2 linked regions of the Cricetulus griseus genome follow. Each later gene encodes a partner of the first gene's protein in a complex. Links are inferred from orthologs where the notes say so. Each region holds a gene or a part of one and is shown on either strand. Other genes may lie near its edges.

Region 1 (7,406 bases):
GGCACTAGGATTTTAGGTCATCATAAATTAAAATTGATTTTTTTCACTCAGAGGATATCAAGGTAATGGGATTACCTGTGTATTCTCTGAAATTTGCGGGATCAAACAACTCTATTCTTTGACTGACATTGACATTGTTTCTGAATTGTGTGTGTGATGCCTGTGTGTGCACACACAGATGTAGTTGCTCACATACTATGGTGCATTCATGGAAGTCAGAGGACAACTTCCGGTGTTGATCCTTCTTTCCATTTGTTTGAGACAGGGTCTCTGTTGCTTTTCCTCTACTATATACACCTAGCTAGCTGTTCTGCTGTCTCATTGTCCTTGTAGCTCCCCATATGCTGTCCAGAGCATTGGTGCTATAGTGCCCTTGCTGTGTGGCTGTCTGGCTTTTACCTGCGTTCTGGGGATTCAGACTCAGGTCCCCATGCTTGTACAGCAAGCACTTACACCCATTGATTTCTATTTTTTAAATAGCTAATTAAAGTGCCACGATTGTGGTAGCTGTCAAGTTGGTCAAAGGATGTTGTAGGGTTTTTTTTGTTTGTTTTTAGACAGTGTCTCACTAGGAAGATCACGCTGGCCTTGAACTCAGAGATGCACCTACCTATTTCCTGAGTGTGTTAGAATTAAAGGCATGTACTACCATGCCTGGCCTAGGTATTGTCATTTTAATGTTTTTCAATATAAAATGAATATATCTCAGCTGTTGATTTCCATAGAAAAATTTAAAAACTTCTGAAATAGAAAATAGTCTGAGAGTATTTTAATGTAGAAACACAACAGAAGCATGAAAAAAGTAAAAAGTGTTTGGCATTTTATAGTATTACTGTGACTGTGAAGTGTCCTCATGGTTCCTTGTTTACAAATATCTTTTTTTTTTCTTTGTCTATTTGTAGCTACGGCACCACAAGTTATTGTTCCTGATTCTAAGTTGATACAACATATGAATGCATCAAGTATTACGGTAAGACTTGAACATGACACTTACATTGGCTTCAGTTATTTAACTTAAAAATTGCAATTATTCCTATGTGTATTGTATTTAACAGTTTGAGGATTATGGAAGATTTGAGCAAAATAGCTGTTAGCCACAAATCTAAAGTGTAGCTTAATCTTAAACATTAAAGTTCATACAATTATGTAATTTTTTCCTTAATACCAAATACTCTTTGTGGTCAATACTTTATAGCTGTAGGGAATCAGCCAAGCATATACTGACACCTTCTGTTTCAGAAAGTTAGTTAGTTGTAAGAGGAGGGGAATGCTAACAATCCAGGAAAGCCATTTTTTTTTTAAATTTTATTAGTTATTTGAAAATTTCATATGTATTTTATTTATATTCACCCCCCTACTCCAACTCTTCCCAGATCCACCCCTTATCTTTTACCTGCCAACCCAAGTTTGTGTCTTCTGTTTTGTTTCTCTAAACCATCAAATCCAGCTGTGTTGCCCATGCACACACAGCATGTGGCTTTTCAAGGACACTGTTTCTAAAGTTTCATGTTTAAAAGAATCTTTGCTCTGACTTAAACATAATGCACAGTTTGTTTTCCTGTAATCTCTAAATTCATACCTTAAAATGCAAAACAAGACTAAGCAGGTTGGTATGCACTTGTGATCCCCAGTACTCAGGAGACAGAGGCAGGAGACTGACTTGATGTTGAAGACCAGCCTGTCTGGGCAGTAAGTTACAGACTAGAGAGACATACAGACATACAAGACTGCACTCAGAAAAAGAAAAGAAAAAGCCGACGAGTTACTAAAATGCGAAATTATATCCAGGATTTGTATCAATGTATGCAGGAAAAATACCATCAATAGACCTTTGGGTTCACATATACAAGGTAGAGAGTGTGTGTGTGTGCGAGTGCGCATGCACGCATATACACACAAGTATTTTAAATCCGGGGAAAATATCTGATGTTTGAGATAGTTCTGAAACTTTTGGATAAGAAACACTCATCTCATTACATATTTTACCTAGATTGTTGTGTCAGTGTGTTCATGCTCCTTTTAGATAATGTGGCATCTTAGAAAAATTGCCAGTTATAGAAACCAAGGAATTCTTCAGATTGTCTTTTAGGGGGAGACCTGTTGATTTTGGGAGAAATGTAAAAATGAAGAAACAAGGATGGCTTGACTTTGGCCTTAAGTATATTATTGAAGCAGGAAATTGGGTGTAAGGAACCAAACAGTGGAAGGATGGCAGTCATGGAATGGTGTCCTCACGGTACAACTTTACTGTGAGTGCATGTATTTCTAAAAACATACTGAGTCTGTGAGAGCTTGAATCAGGAGGTTGCTTAGAGTAAGTTCTTTAGGGGAGCCAGACCATTAGACTTACAATTTCTTGAAAGACTTGAATAGGTTATTTAGGCTCTCTTGCCACATGAGCGCACCCTGTTGTTCGAGTGCCTTTCAGTCAGTTCTCCATGCGCTGTAAAGTACACTACAGATAAACTGAGGTCTACTTGGCGCGCACTCGTAGATACGACTTTCCCTTTGTTTTTCTTCTTGCAGAGTGCTGCTGCTACGGCTGCCACCTTGGCCCTCCCTGCAGGCGTGACTCCCGTTCAGCAGATACTAACAAATTCAGGTAATCAGAACAAGGAAAGCGGCTTAAATATTGTTCAGAAACTAACACCAAGTAGCTCTTAATGTTTTATTGTCACTGAAGGGAGGCAGTACTGACGCTTGTTAAGATCATTTGAGGGCTATAGGATATAGAATTGTAGTCTTTGTTGAGGGTATAATTGAAAAAATCAAAGTTGTAGCCAGGTGTGTGGTAGCACACATAATCGCAGCAGTTGGGATTTGGAGGCGGGATCAGATGTTCAATGCCATCCTAGGTTTCATAATGAGTTTGAGCCCAACTGAAACCCTGATTCAAAAAAGAAAAAAAAAGGTGTTGGTGGCGCACGCCTTTAATCCCAGCACTCGGGAGGCAGAGACAGGCAGATCTCTGAGTTCGAGGCCAGCCTGGTCTCCAGAGCGAGTGCCTGAATAGGCTCCAAAGCTACACAGAGAAACCCTGTCTCGAAAAACAAAAAAAAAAAAAAAAAAAAATCTAAAATTGGGCTGGAGAGATGGCTCAGAGGTTAAGAGCAGGCGCTGCTCTTCCAGAGGTCCCGAGTTCAATTCCCAGCAACCACATGGTGGCTCACAACCTTCTGTAATGAGATCTGTTGCCCTCTTCTGGCCTGCAGGCATATATGCAGACAGCATGCTGTATACATAATAAATAAATCAATCTTGAAAAAAAAAATTAAAACAGGAATTTAAAAAAAAAAATTTTTAATGGATCTTTTGTTCTGTGAATGAGAACCCTGCCTAAGTGGGATTACAGAGATATGGTTATTTTCTGAGATTGGCTTTTTTTTTTTTTTTTTTTAAACAAAGCATCTGTTTTGCTAAATGAAATATTTGAATTAATTTGTGATGATCAAATTAAATTCCACAGGACCTGAAGAGCTGATTCATTGTGTACTTTTAGAGAATGTACTGTCTTTGCAGTTATGCCAAATACATATTTCCATCTTATCTTTGGAACACTTAAATAGACTGTTATATAGCCTGATCTTTATATTATTTATTGATTGATTGTCTGTAATTTCTAAATTTGTGCAGAACCAATTAGGGCTTTGCCCTCATTTATTTATTTATTTATTTATTTATTTATTTATCTATCTATCTATCTATCTATTTATTTTTTGGTTTTTCGAGACAGGGTTTCTCTGCAGCTTTGGAGCCTTCATGGAATTCGCTCTGTAGATCAGGCTGGCCTCGAACTCATGGAGATTAGCCTGCCTCTACCTCCCAAGTGCTGAGATTAAAGTTGTGCGCCACCACTGCCAGCCTAGGGCTTTGTCTTCTTTTGGAAGTATATGAGGCTATTCTGTGTATTATATATTATTCATAATTACAGCAGTTCTAATTGTTTTAGCAAATTTTCATTGCTTGTTGAAAATTTGAAGCAAAGCCCTGTGCTTTGGTTTAAGATACAAACAAAATGTTATACCTTTGTGTCTGCCTCTGCCTCCCAAGTGCTGGGATTAAAGGTGTGCGCCACCAACGCCTGGCTTTCTAATACTGTTTACTACACTTTCTTGACTGTTATCATGTGAGAAAAAGTAATTAAGGCAATCTTTAAGTCTTTTAATTTTGTGTGGCTATTTTACCTGCTTGTTTGTGCATCACATGCTTGTAGTTCCTTGGGAGTCTAGAAGAGGCCACCACATTCCCTAGAACCGGAGTTAGAGCTGGCTGTCAGCCACCATGTGGGTGCTGGGAATGGAACCTCCGTTCTCTGGGAGAGCATCTAGTGCTTGTAACTGCTGAGTTACTTCGATAGTCTCTTAATCAAATTTTACAACCTGTTGTTAAAGCTTTATTGGTAATAAGCTAAAGAAGGGGCTGGAGAGTGGCTTAGCGGTTAATAGCACTGCCTGTTCTTCCAGAGGACCTGGGTTCAATTCTCAGCACCCACCTGACAGCTCACAACTGTCTGTAACTCCAGTTCTAGGGGATCCAACACCTTCACACAGACATACATGCAGGTAAAACACCAATGCATGTAAAAAAAAAAAAAAAAAGCTAATGAAGATAATAAATATGGGAAAACATTTGGACATAGAGGGAAATTGGGAACTATAGTGGTTGTAGTTTATCATGTATAGTTGATAGCCCTTAGTAAAATAGTTAGTCTTCTAATTTGGTAAATATTTTGGTTCTTTGGCTTGAAAGCAACATAAACTCATTTCCTTGTGTATTAATTGCTGCTGAAATAGCAACTTGGTCTATATTCTTTTTTTTTTTTTTTTTTTTTTTTTTGCCTTAGGTCAGCTTCTTCAGGTGGTCCGAGCAGCCAATGGTGCCCAATATATCTTTCAACCTCAGCAGTCAGTTGTTCTACAACAACAAGTTATACCACAGATGCAGCCTGGTGGAGTACAGGCTCCTGTTATCCAGCAGGTAAAGAATTGTTACCATCCCCTGGGATCCAGCTGCTGCTCTTGCTGCTGCTGCTGCTGCTGCTGCTATAACTGTATGAATTTATCATGTGGTTCCCTACCCTTTTCCCCCTCAAGTTTACATACACAATAGTCAAAACAATCTTATTCTCAATTGTTGTTATTACTATTATTATAATTATAATCATCATTATCATTATTAGGCCTCCAAGCAAGTTACATCTCTCATGTTTAAAACTGAATTATTATTTGTTTCTGGCTTCTTGATCCCTCTTACTAGTTCCTAATAGGTGGTTTTGTTTGCCCTAGGTCTTGGCCCCACTTCCTGGAGGGATTTCACCACAGACAGGTGTCATCATCCAGCCACAGCAAATCTTATTTACAGGAAATAAGACTCAGGTCATCCCTACTACAGTGGCAGCACCCACACCAGCACAAGCGCAGATACCTGCCGCTGGCCAGCAGCAGCCACAGGCCCAGCCTGCTCAACAGCAAGCCCCATTGGTGCTGCAAGTTGATGGAACAGGGGATACGTCATCTGAGGAAGATGAAGATGAGGAAGAAGACTATGATGATGATGAGGAGGAAGATAAAGAGAAAGATGGAGCTGAAGATGGGCAGGTAGAAGAAGTAAGTTTCTAGTAAAAAGAGACTTGAAAAGAGAAGCCCCTCATCATTTATTGTTGTATTTAGGGCTAAACAGACAAATTAATATGCTATTTCTTCAGAGAGGTGGATGCTTGGACTCAGCTAGCTTTCTCTCCCCCAAACTCAGGGAGTATATCACCCACTCTGAGTATGGTTCTTCTACCTCAGTAACCACACCATCACAGTCCATCATAGGCATCCTCAGGAACTAGATTATCCATCCCTCATACATGGCCTAGAGGGCTGTCTCCTAGGCTGTTATAGGTCCTGTTAGGTTGATATTAACAGCAACTACCACAGGCTCCCTTTTTTTAAAAGGTATGTATATCAAATGGAAATTATATTAATAGGGATAGTACAGATCAAATTTCTTGTTATTATTCATAATGTGGTGGCTTAACCATAAGATAGTGGTAGAGCAGATGAATAGGATTGATCTTGTGTTTTAGTGATTAAAAAGGCATGGCATTGTTTGGGGAGAGAGGAAAGTGGAGAATAACTGAATGTGACAGCTCAAGCCCAAACCATCTTTTGGCCCATTCTGTACCAGGTCCTCAGTAATCTCATCTTCATGACTTTTTCTTGATGCCTGTGAACATGGTGTCACCAGTTTTTCAGCATAGTTACTATGTCCAAGGTGATGATTTGGCCCACTGTAATTTTCATGATTAATTGCTTTGTGATAAAATGGAATCATTTTTCTTTTAAATCTTAATACAAAATTCTGTTTCGTTTTACTGATTTGTATTCATTTATTATTATTTTTAAGGTTTCTTTTTTTAAAATTTTTTAAATCCCAATCCCAGTTTCTCCTCCCTCCTTTCCTCCCACTCCCTCCACTCCCCCCTCTTCCCATCTGTTCCATGGAGAGGGTAAGGCCTCCCCTAGGAAGTCTACTAAGTCTGCCCCATCATCTTGTTGAGGCAGGACCAAGGCACCTCTCCACCCCCCACCCCTGGGTCTAAGCTGGCGTGGTATCTCTCGGTATAGAATGGGCTCCACTAAGTGTATTCATTTATTATTTTGGTGTTTTTGTTTTGTTTTGTTTTGTTTTTGAGAGTTTCACACTGTAGTCTAGGCTGCAGGTCTGGAACTCATTATATAGCCCATATTGGCCTTGAGCTTGTGGCAAGCCTCCTGGTTCAGCCTCCCAAGTATTATAGATGTGAGCCATTTTATAGGCCTAAACATTTTTTTCTTCTAAATAGTTAAAGATAGTTTATTAAATATCTGAGGAATCAAAGTGGCTAGAATATTTTAAACTATGGCTATCCTGGCATGCACCAGTGAGGTGAAACTGTTTTCCATTACTAAAATGTTTTGGTGTCTCTTCCCTGACACATCTCTTCCTTCTGCTTTCAAAGCATCTGCACCAGACTGTATGATCAACTTGTCTTTGTATTTCAATGTATGTTTATATTTCCAAAGGTATGCTGCGTGAATAGTATAAGTGCAATATTTTTAATGTAGCTTCTGTTATTTTTTCTTAAAATGGTAGTCCTGAGGTTCAGTCAGGTTGTTGCATATAACTAGTTATTTTTACTGTTGACTGTACCATTATTTGATTATCCTTTTTTGGATCCATTGAACATGTGGGTGACTTCTAATTCTTTACTGCATTCTAAAATATTCTTAAATGTGTTCTGGGAACTCCTGTGTATTTCTCTTCAGTATTATACATGAACATGGATTTGCCAACTTACTGCACTGACTCTATTCTGCCATTTTTGTCTATAATTTGTAGATGTCAACATGTCATCACTTCTTAATATTGGCAGACTG
Region 2 (7,977 bases), on another chromosome or scaffold:
GCCCTGCCACTATCTGACCCCTCTGTGTTGGGTGTCTTGGTGCTCTGCTGTCATTAATAAACCTGCCGTGACTGCTGAGGCTCTGAGAAAGAGTGAATCCAGGGGACCCTTGATGGGGCTGGGGTTTGACCAAGGACTAGGGCCACCAGCATGTCCTCTCTGCAGTGCCTTCCCTTGTTAGTTGTTTAAACTCCCAACTGCAGCCCCAGTACTGCTCCCCACACTCCTCCATCCTATAAGCTTGGAGCCTGATGACTCTTTCCAGCTGGAAGCAGCCACCGCACAGAGCCCCTGTGCTTGGGTGTCCTTCCAGACCACACAGCAGAGCAGAGCTGGGTCACAGTGTCCCTGTCCATCTTCTAAGGGATAGCAGGTCACATTGCCTGTGACTCTGCTCAGGATTGGAGAGGGGTGTGGGACTGTGATGGGAAGTTGATTGGGAGTGGGGTGAGTAGGACGTGAGTGGGTAGCCCTCCTGTCACGTCCTTCCTTTCCTCAGGACACCCAGGCCACATGTTGTGTTTCCATGGCTGAAGCTTTCGGGTGTAGCGTGGGCAGGGCCTTCAGGCTTTTGAAGAAAGAGCCTAGGAGGTATTTATCTAGACTAGCAGCTCTCAAACTATGGGTGGCGACCTCTGGGGGTTGAATGACACCTTCACAGGGGTCTCCTAAGACCATCGGAAATATCAGATATTTACATTATGATTCGTAATAGTAGAAAAATTAGTTATGAAATAGCAATGAAAATAATTTTACAGTTGGGGGGTCACCACAACATGAGGAACTGTGTTAAAGGGTCCAGCATCTGGAAGGTGGTTGAGAACCACTGGTCTAGACAGATTCAACCGAGGTCTTCACTCCCAGGATGCATCTAAATGAGAATCCTCTCCACAGCCACGCCCCCTGGCTGCAGTTCTGCTCTTGCCACACAGGGAAGAACAGAGGGCATTCAGCTCCTAATTCAAGCTGTGTGTAATTCGTATTTTTCCCCGGAAGAGTTAAGACAGGATTTGTCTTATAGCCTCAAATTCATTATATAGCCAAGGATGACCTTAAAATCTTGATTTTAGCCGGGTGTTGGTGGCGCACGCCTTTAATCCCAGCACTTGGGAGGCAGAGGCAGGCAGATCTCTGTGAGTTCGAGGCCAGCCTGGTCTCCAGAGCAAGTGCCAGGATAGGCTCCAAAGCTACACAGAGAAACCTTATCTCAACCCCCCCCCCAAAAAAAAGGAGAAGAAAAAAAAGAAAGAAATCCTGATCTTCCTGCCTCCACCTCCAAGTTCTGGGGTTACAGGTATGAGCCCTGCAGAGTTTGTGTAGAGGTGGGCATTAAACCTAAGGCTCCATGTGGATGCAGCAAGCACTTTGCAAGAGAGCCACACCTCTAGCCCCTTTATTTCTGAGACAGTGTCTCTTGTGGTCCAGGCTGGCCTCAAACTCAACTCTCTAGCTGAGGATGGCCTTGAACTCCTGATCCTCCTGACTCCATCCCCACAGTGTTGACATTACAGGTCTGAGCCACCACACCTGAATTTAAAGCATATGCTCAAAATTGCACTTGGGCTGGCGGTGCAGTTCAGTGGTAGGACACTTGCCTGGCTGGCGGTGCAGTTCAGTGGTAGGACACTTGCCTGGCATACATAAGGCCCTACGTCATAAACGGTTCGACCAACACAAACAATAATTAAGTGGTACTGGTCAAGGCATGGCCTGATTTCTCATTGTCTCAGCTCTGGTTTGAAGAGTCAAGCTCCTTCCCATGAGATAACTCCTCCTCCTCATGGGGTAATCTGCCTTCAAAGCTCTGCTTTTCCTAGAATCAAAGGTGACTACAAGCTTAGGGCTGTGACTGGAGAACCTTGGATGACTTCCTGCTCTTCCTCCCCCTTCTTCTTCTGAGTTTGAAAGGAGACATAAAAGCCGAGGAAGATGCCTGCATTATCTTTGTGCCTTCTGCCTTGAAGGAGGATGAGCTGGGCTAGGTATCAATGGTCCTTAGGTAGACACTCCAGGGATAACAAGTCAATATGCAGAGCAAGGGGGAGCATGATGTGATTGGTGTTTGAAGGGTTCCAAAGCCCTCTGGCACCTGGCATTGTCTTCACTTGTCCCCTGGTGGCACTGCCATCTTCCATGTTATACAGTGAAGTTTTAGTGCTCATGTACCAATGGCTAGGCTGGCTCATACCTGTTACTCCAAAGACTAGGAGACTGAGTTATTGTTCCTGTTGCTGTGTCTACAAACCCGACAGAAGCATCCTCAGGAAGGGTTGGGATGTCATAGCAACAGGAGTGCCAGGCAGCTGATCACATTGCCACCTGCATCCAGGAAGCAGAACAAGATGGTTTCCTTTCCTCTTTTATTCAGTCTGAGGGCTTAGCCTCTAGGATGGCATCATGCACGTGGTGAGTCCTTAATGGTGAGTCCTTAATGGTGAGTCCTTCCTTCCTCAGTTAAACCTGTCTAGAATCTCACCAACACACTCAGAAGTTTTTGTTTTGTTTTGTTTGTATATACATTGTGTGTACACAGGGAGGTCAGAGGAATTGGTTCTCAACTTCTCCCACATGGGTCCTGGGGATTGAACTCATGTAGTCAGGCTTGGTGACACTATCTTTACCCACTGGACTGTCCTGCTGGCCCACTTGTCTGTTTCCACAATGATACTAAATCTCATCAGGTTGACAAAATGAACCATCATGGAGGCTGGAGAAATAGCTCAGCAGTTAAAGACTGACTACTCTTTCAGGACTAGAGTTGGGTTCCCAGCACCTCCAAGGCTGGTCTCCAAAGGCTCCTGTATGTACGTTCTGCACAGACAGGCAGATAGAAATCTTTAAAAATAGGAAAAATAGCCACAATAGCCACAAAGACGGCTGAAAAGCAGAGAGGTGCCAGGCTGTCATTGTTTTTTGGTTACCTGTGTGTCCAACAGAGGATCCGCTGGCACCCTGTCACTTTTACACACCTTCCTGCTCCTCATCCAGCCAGCCGGGGTCCTGCAGCAGCAGCTCATACACATACACAGCTTGGATTCCAGCTCAGTGAGCCAGTTGCAGGTGGCCCAGCCTTCCCTCGCTGGAATATGCGCCAAAGAGCCGCCTGGTGAAAGCCACTTTTTTTTTTTTCTTTTTGTTTGTTTTGTTTTCAAGACAGGGTTTCTCTGTGTTGTTTTGAAGCCTATCCTGGCACTCACTCTGTAGACTAGGCTGTCCTCGAAACCACAGAGATCCGCTTGGCTCTGCCTCCTGTGCTGGGAGGTGCTGCCCCTGGGGTTTGGACAGGATTTCTAACCTGCTCCGCCTCGCCTGCTCGTGCCTGCCGAAGGTCATCCGGTCCACCAGGGGGCGCGGGGCCAGGGGCTTTGATTGGCTGTGTCCTCGTGACCCGGAAGTGGTCGCGGTCCGGAGCTCAGTGTGGTAACGGCGGCTGCGGCTTGAGTCTGGGAGCCGGAGCGCACCTCTAGGATGAACGCTCCTCCGGCCTTCGAGTCGTTCTTGCTCTTCGAGGGCGAGAAGAAGTAAGTGGAGGCCGTTAGCTCTGGCGCGGTGAGCACTGTGCTTCGTGCGCGTCTGCCGAACTTCAGGCGGTGGTGCGATGTACGCCTGTGTTACAGCGGGGAAACTGAGGCCGGGGCACGTCGAGCCCTTGCTCCAGACACTTAGGAAGTGTCGGGGACTGTATTCGAACTCAGAGTGTCAGGCTCCCTTTTCACTGGTCTGCAGCCCCATTATCCATGCTGCGCAGCGATGGCTTTAGAGCTCACCCCCCTGCATAGGGTGCGATCGCCTGTGATTCCAGGACTTGGCGACTGAGGCAGGAGGATAATGATGGTAGCGGTGAAGGGACCGAGACACAGCTACCCTCTCACACTCCTCAGCAGCCTGAGGATTTCCTCTAGATTTTCAGGGATCTCGGCCAAACTCAGGTTCGTGGCTTCAACACTAGAAAGAATTTCAGGACTCGACGGTTTAATGACGCACTCAGGAGGCACAGGCAGACGGATCTCTGAGTTCAAGGCCAGCCTGGTCTATAGAGGTAGTTCCAGGACCAAGAGAAATCCCGTTCTGAAAAAGAAAAAAGGAGCAATCCTGTGTGGGAAAGGGTCCTTGGTGTGTATAGATAAGGTGCCATCACGGAGTAGAGAAGGTTCCTTGTTTTTTTGTTTTGGTCATGCTGGGGACTGGACCCAGGGTCTGGCCCATGCTAGGTTACTGCTCTATCAATAAGCTACACTCGAGCTTTTTTTTTTTTTTTGTAGTTTTCTTTTGGTTTTTCAAAACAGGGTTTCCTCTGTGTTGCTCTGGCTGTCCTGGAACTCGCTCTGTAGTGCAGGCTGGCTTCGAAGTCACAGAGATCCTCCTGCCTCTGCCTCCCAAGCGCTGGATCAAAGGTGTGCTCCACCACTGCCTGGCTCACTCCAGCTCCCCCTGCCCAACATTTGCTAGGCTGGGGAGATGGCTCAGTGGGTCACAGCTCAAAGCATTTGCTGAGGATTGGTGTGGATCTCCAGAAGCCGTGTCAAAGCTGTGCAATGTGCCTACTTCATTGCTCCTCCAGGGACGTGGAAGTGTAGATAGGAGTCAGCCAGCATGGTCTGTCAAGGAAGGCAAGGATGACAGTGTTTTTCTCTGCCCTCCTGCCCCCGTCACTGGGATTACTAGTCCCAGTGACTAGTCCCAGCAGGCCTACCTTGCTTGTTTTGTTTGGAGGGGGAGTGAGTGGTAGGATGAAACCCAGAGCCTTAAAAATTTGAGATAAATGGTGACCCATTGAACCATGCCAGAGCTCTCAGAGAGCCCTTTGGGGCGAGCAGACTGGGGATAGTGGGACTTGCAGAATGATGGCCTCCCTTGAATTGTTAGGGGGTTTGGAGACAAGCTGTTTTCTGTCTTCTAGGAAAGAATTTAGTCAAGAGCTAGTTTAAGACAACCAATTTGTATGAGGGAAAGAGCTGGATGTTTTTGTTTCTGGGGTAGTGGGAACAGCCCAACTGCAGTTTCTAGAATGTTTGATCACAAAGGGGACACCGATTTGAGAATCAGTGTCAGCATCACAAGAGCTGGATGTGGGGCCAGGGAAAGCTATCACCCTCAGCCTTTGCCTGTCTCATTGTAGAATCACCATTAACAAGGACACAAAGGTGCCCAATGCTTGCCTGTTCACCATCAACAAAGAAGACCACACTCTGGGGAACATCATCAAATCGTAAGTCCCAGGCCAGAGGCCTCGAGTGTCACCAGAGCTCTGTAGGCTGAGCACATGCCCTGGGACGGTTCCTTCCGTCTCTCCGCAGCTTGCTGGCACTTTAACCTGTCACTGACAGGTCTGTTCACATGCGGCTTGCTTTTGTTGGCTTTTTGATGTAGGGGTTCATGTAGTGTAGACTGGACTCAAACTGACTCACCTTACCATGGTTGCCGGGATCCTGGCCACGTAACACGTAACACATCAGCTTCCTGTTGGCTCATTCATGTAGTGTATAAGTTTGCAGTTGCCTCTTGGTCTTTTGGCCAAGATCAAGTTCAGGGGACTCCAGCAAAGCAGGTTTTCATTTTAGTGGGCATCAAGATGCTAAGAGGTGATGGGTATGGTGGTACACACCTGTAATTCCAGCACTCGGGAGGCAGAGGCAGATGGAGTACTTGTGAGTTCAGAGCCAGCCTGGTCTACATAGTAAGCTCTAGGACAGCCAGTTACATACAGTATCTCAAAAAGATAAAGCAAAGGGGGCCAGCAGTGTCACCTCACTTACCCCTACATTTGATAGAAAGCTGCAGGCATCGGCAGATTACCAAACTTTTGTTACTGGGTGATTGCCAGTGCTTTCAGAGCTGGGGGGGTGACAGACGGTCCCCACCTGACATGAGTGCTGGGAATTGACTCTGGCTCCTCTCCAAGAGCAATACTTTCTTTAAATTTAAAACACCTTTTGCCTATGTATGTCTACCGTGTGTCTGTTACCCATGAAGGTCAGAAAGAACTAGATCCCTTGGAGCTGGAGGTACAGGTGGTTAGATGCCACATGGGTGCTGGAAACCTTTTAACTAATCCAGTTCTCCAGCCTTCCCTGCATGTAATGTGCTGGGTCTGGTGGTTTGTGCCTTTAACCACAGCAGGCAGATCTCTGTAAGTTCAAAGCCAGCTTGGCCTACATTGAGTTCCAGGATAGCCAGGACTGTTAAGGAAACCCTGTCTGGAAAAACCAAAAAATATATTGTGAATGTAGTGTCTGAGTAGGGCTAGAAGAGGGTGTTGGATCCGTGGAGCTGGAGTTGTGAATTGTGTGCCACCTGCCGGAGGCACTGGAAACCAAATGCAGATTCTCTAAGGAGCAATAGGTGCTCCACCACTGTGCTGTTTTTCTCTAGCCCAACCTGTAACTCTTGTATGGGTATGTTTTTCTACACATGTCTGTATAACATATGGTGCCCTTGCATGCCATAAGAGGATGTTGGAGACCCCAGGACTGGAGTTGTGAGCCACCATGTGGCTGCTGGGAATTAGATCAAGGTCCTTTAGAGAAACAGCCAGTTCTCTTAACTGCTGAGCCATCGCGCCGACCTCCCATCCTACAACTCTTCAGTTATATAAGGCAGGGGCCAGTTAGAGCCCATGACGTTAGGCTCTCCACTTCCCTCAGCTTTGTGGAAAGGGGCCCTGTATATGAACAGCCACCTGGGGACTGTCAAGAGCCTGGCCCTGTTCTTCTTCCCACTGCTACCTGCTTGCTGTACCTAGAAATGGGGCCTTGTATTCTGGCTACTTCAACCCTGGCCAGATGTTTTGGCCTAGGTACAGTCCACAGCCACTGTCATAGGTTCTCAACTTCTATGAAGGATGCCACCCCAGCTAGGGTCCTTGATCTTGTAGTCAGCAGGGTTCCTTCCCATATGGTCTTAGGTCCCCTTAACTTGATTCCCTCCCCCAGTGCTGGGAGGAACCTCTAGCATGTAGACACGCACTCTACCATTAAGCTGCATCCCCAGTCCTTTATTTTTTAAATTGTTCTCACTAAATTGGGTAGGCTGGCCTTGAACTTAGTATTCCTGAGCAGCTGGATTGCCAGGCCTGATCTCCCTCACAGTACACCTGTTTCTCAGCCAGCTGTTGAAGGACCCACAGGTGCTGTTTGCTGGCTACAAAGTCCCCCACCCCTTGGAGCACAAGATCATCATTCGTGTGCAGACCACTCCAGACTACAGTCCTCAGGAGGCCTTCACCAATGCCATCACAGACCTCATCAGTGAGCTCTCTCTGCTGGAGGAACGATTCCGGGTAAGCAGCTGGGCAGGGACTTGTGAATTGTGTTGATTCAGCAGCAGAGCTGGCCCCGTCCCCAACTAGCATCCCCCAATCAGGGTCCGAGACATAACTTAGTGGTACATTGTTTGCCTAGCACAATCAAGGCCTTAGGTACCATCTTCAGCATCAAAAACCATAACCAAAATCTCTCCCCTTTGCCACTGGCTCTTCTGGCTCATAAGGCTTCTGAGACTCCTGAGGGAATCTTCATCCCAGGATGGGAGTCGCAGTTATTGGTCAGGGACCCTCACCTTTTGAGATTTTCATCTCACTTGGCTCCATCCCTAGCCCTCAGCAAACAGGTGCCTCAGAGCAGGGAAGGTGGAACCTGCTGAAGCACCTGCACCCTGGAGCCTTTGGGTACTGGTCTGCCTTGTGTGATAGTCTCTGGAGAACTTCTAGAAGGACTGCAGTGCCAGGTTCCTGGTGCCACACAAGCAGGGGATACTGGGGTCATTCCATGTAGTCACTGCCATTGTCCTTCCTCTTCAGGTGGCCATCAAGGACAAGCAAGAAGGAATTGAGTAGCAGCTAAAAGGAGCATTGCTTAATGGCTGGAAGGCTGGTGCACACACCCTCAGGCTCCTTTCAGTATTCTCGATAACAGCCACCCTCTCCTCTCTGTAGCTGGATGTTGCCCTGTTCTGTATATAGATTGCTATTTTCCTAAT

Evidence for each region.
Region 2: Gtf2a1 (region 1) and DNA-directed RNA polymerase II subunit RPB11-a share a complex: the UniProt entries of both Homo sapiens proteins name them as parts of the TBP-based Pol II pre-initiation complex. The link is inferred for Cricetulus griseus from reciprocal best matches to the Homo sapiens genes GTF2A1 and POLR2J.

The regions. Positions count from the first base shown.
Region 1 is NC_048598.1:113,327,822-113,335,227, forward strand, and holds part of Gtf2a1 (transcription initiation factor IIA subunit 1), read left to right. Parts: exon of another isoform or gene 1-111; intron 112-902; coding exon 903-970; intron 971-2,526; coding exon 2,527-2,602; intron 2,603-4,843; coding exon 4,844-4,977; intron 4,978-5,285; coding exon 5,286-5,606; intron 5,607-7,406. UniProt on the Homo sapiens protein: TFIIA is a component of the transcription machinery of RNA polymerase II and plays an important role in transcriptional activation. TFIIA in a complex with TBP mediates transcriptional activity.
Region 2 is NC_048597.1:115,109,092-115,117,068, forward strand, and holds the start of DNA-directed RNA polymerase II subunit RPB11-a, read left to right. Parts: upstream 1-3,364; 5' UTR 3,365-3,468; coding exon 3,469-3,521; intron 3,522-5,119; coding exon 5,120-5,209; intron 5,210-6,973; exon of another isoform or gene 6,974-7,104; coding exon 7,105-7,279; exon of another isoform or gene 7,280-7,798; coding exon 7,799-7,834; 3' UTR 7,835-7,977. UniProt on the Homo sapiens protein: Core component of RNA polymerase II (Pol II), a DNA-dependent RNA polymerase which synthesizes mRNA precursors and many functional non-coding RNAs using the four ribonucleoside triphosphates as substrates.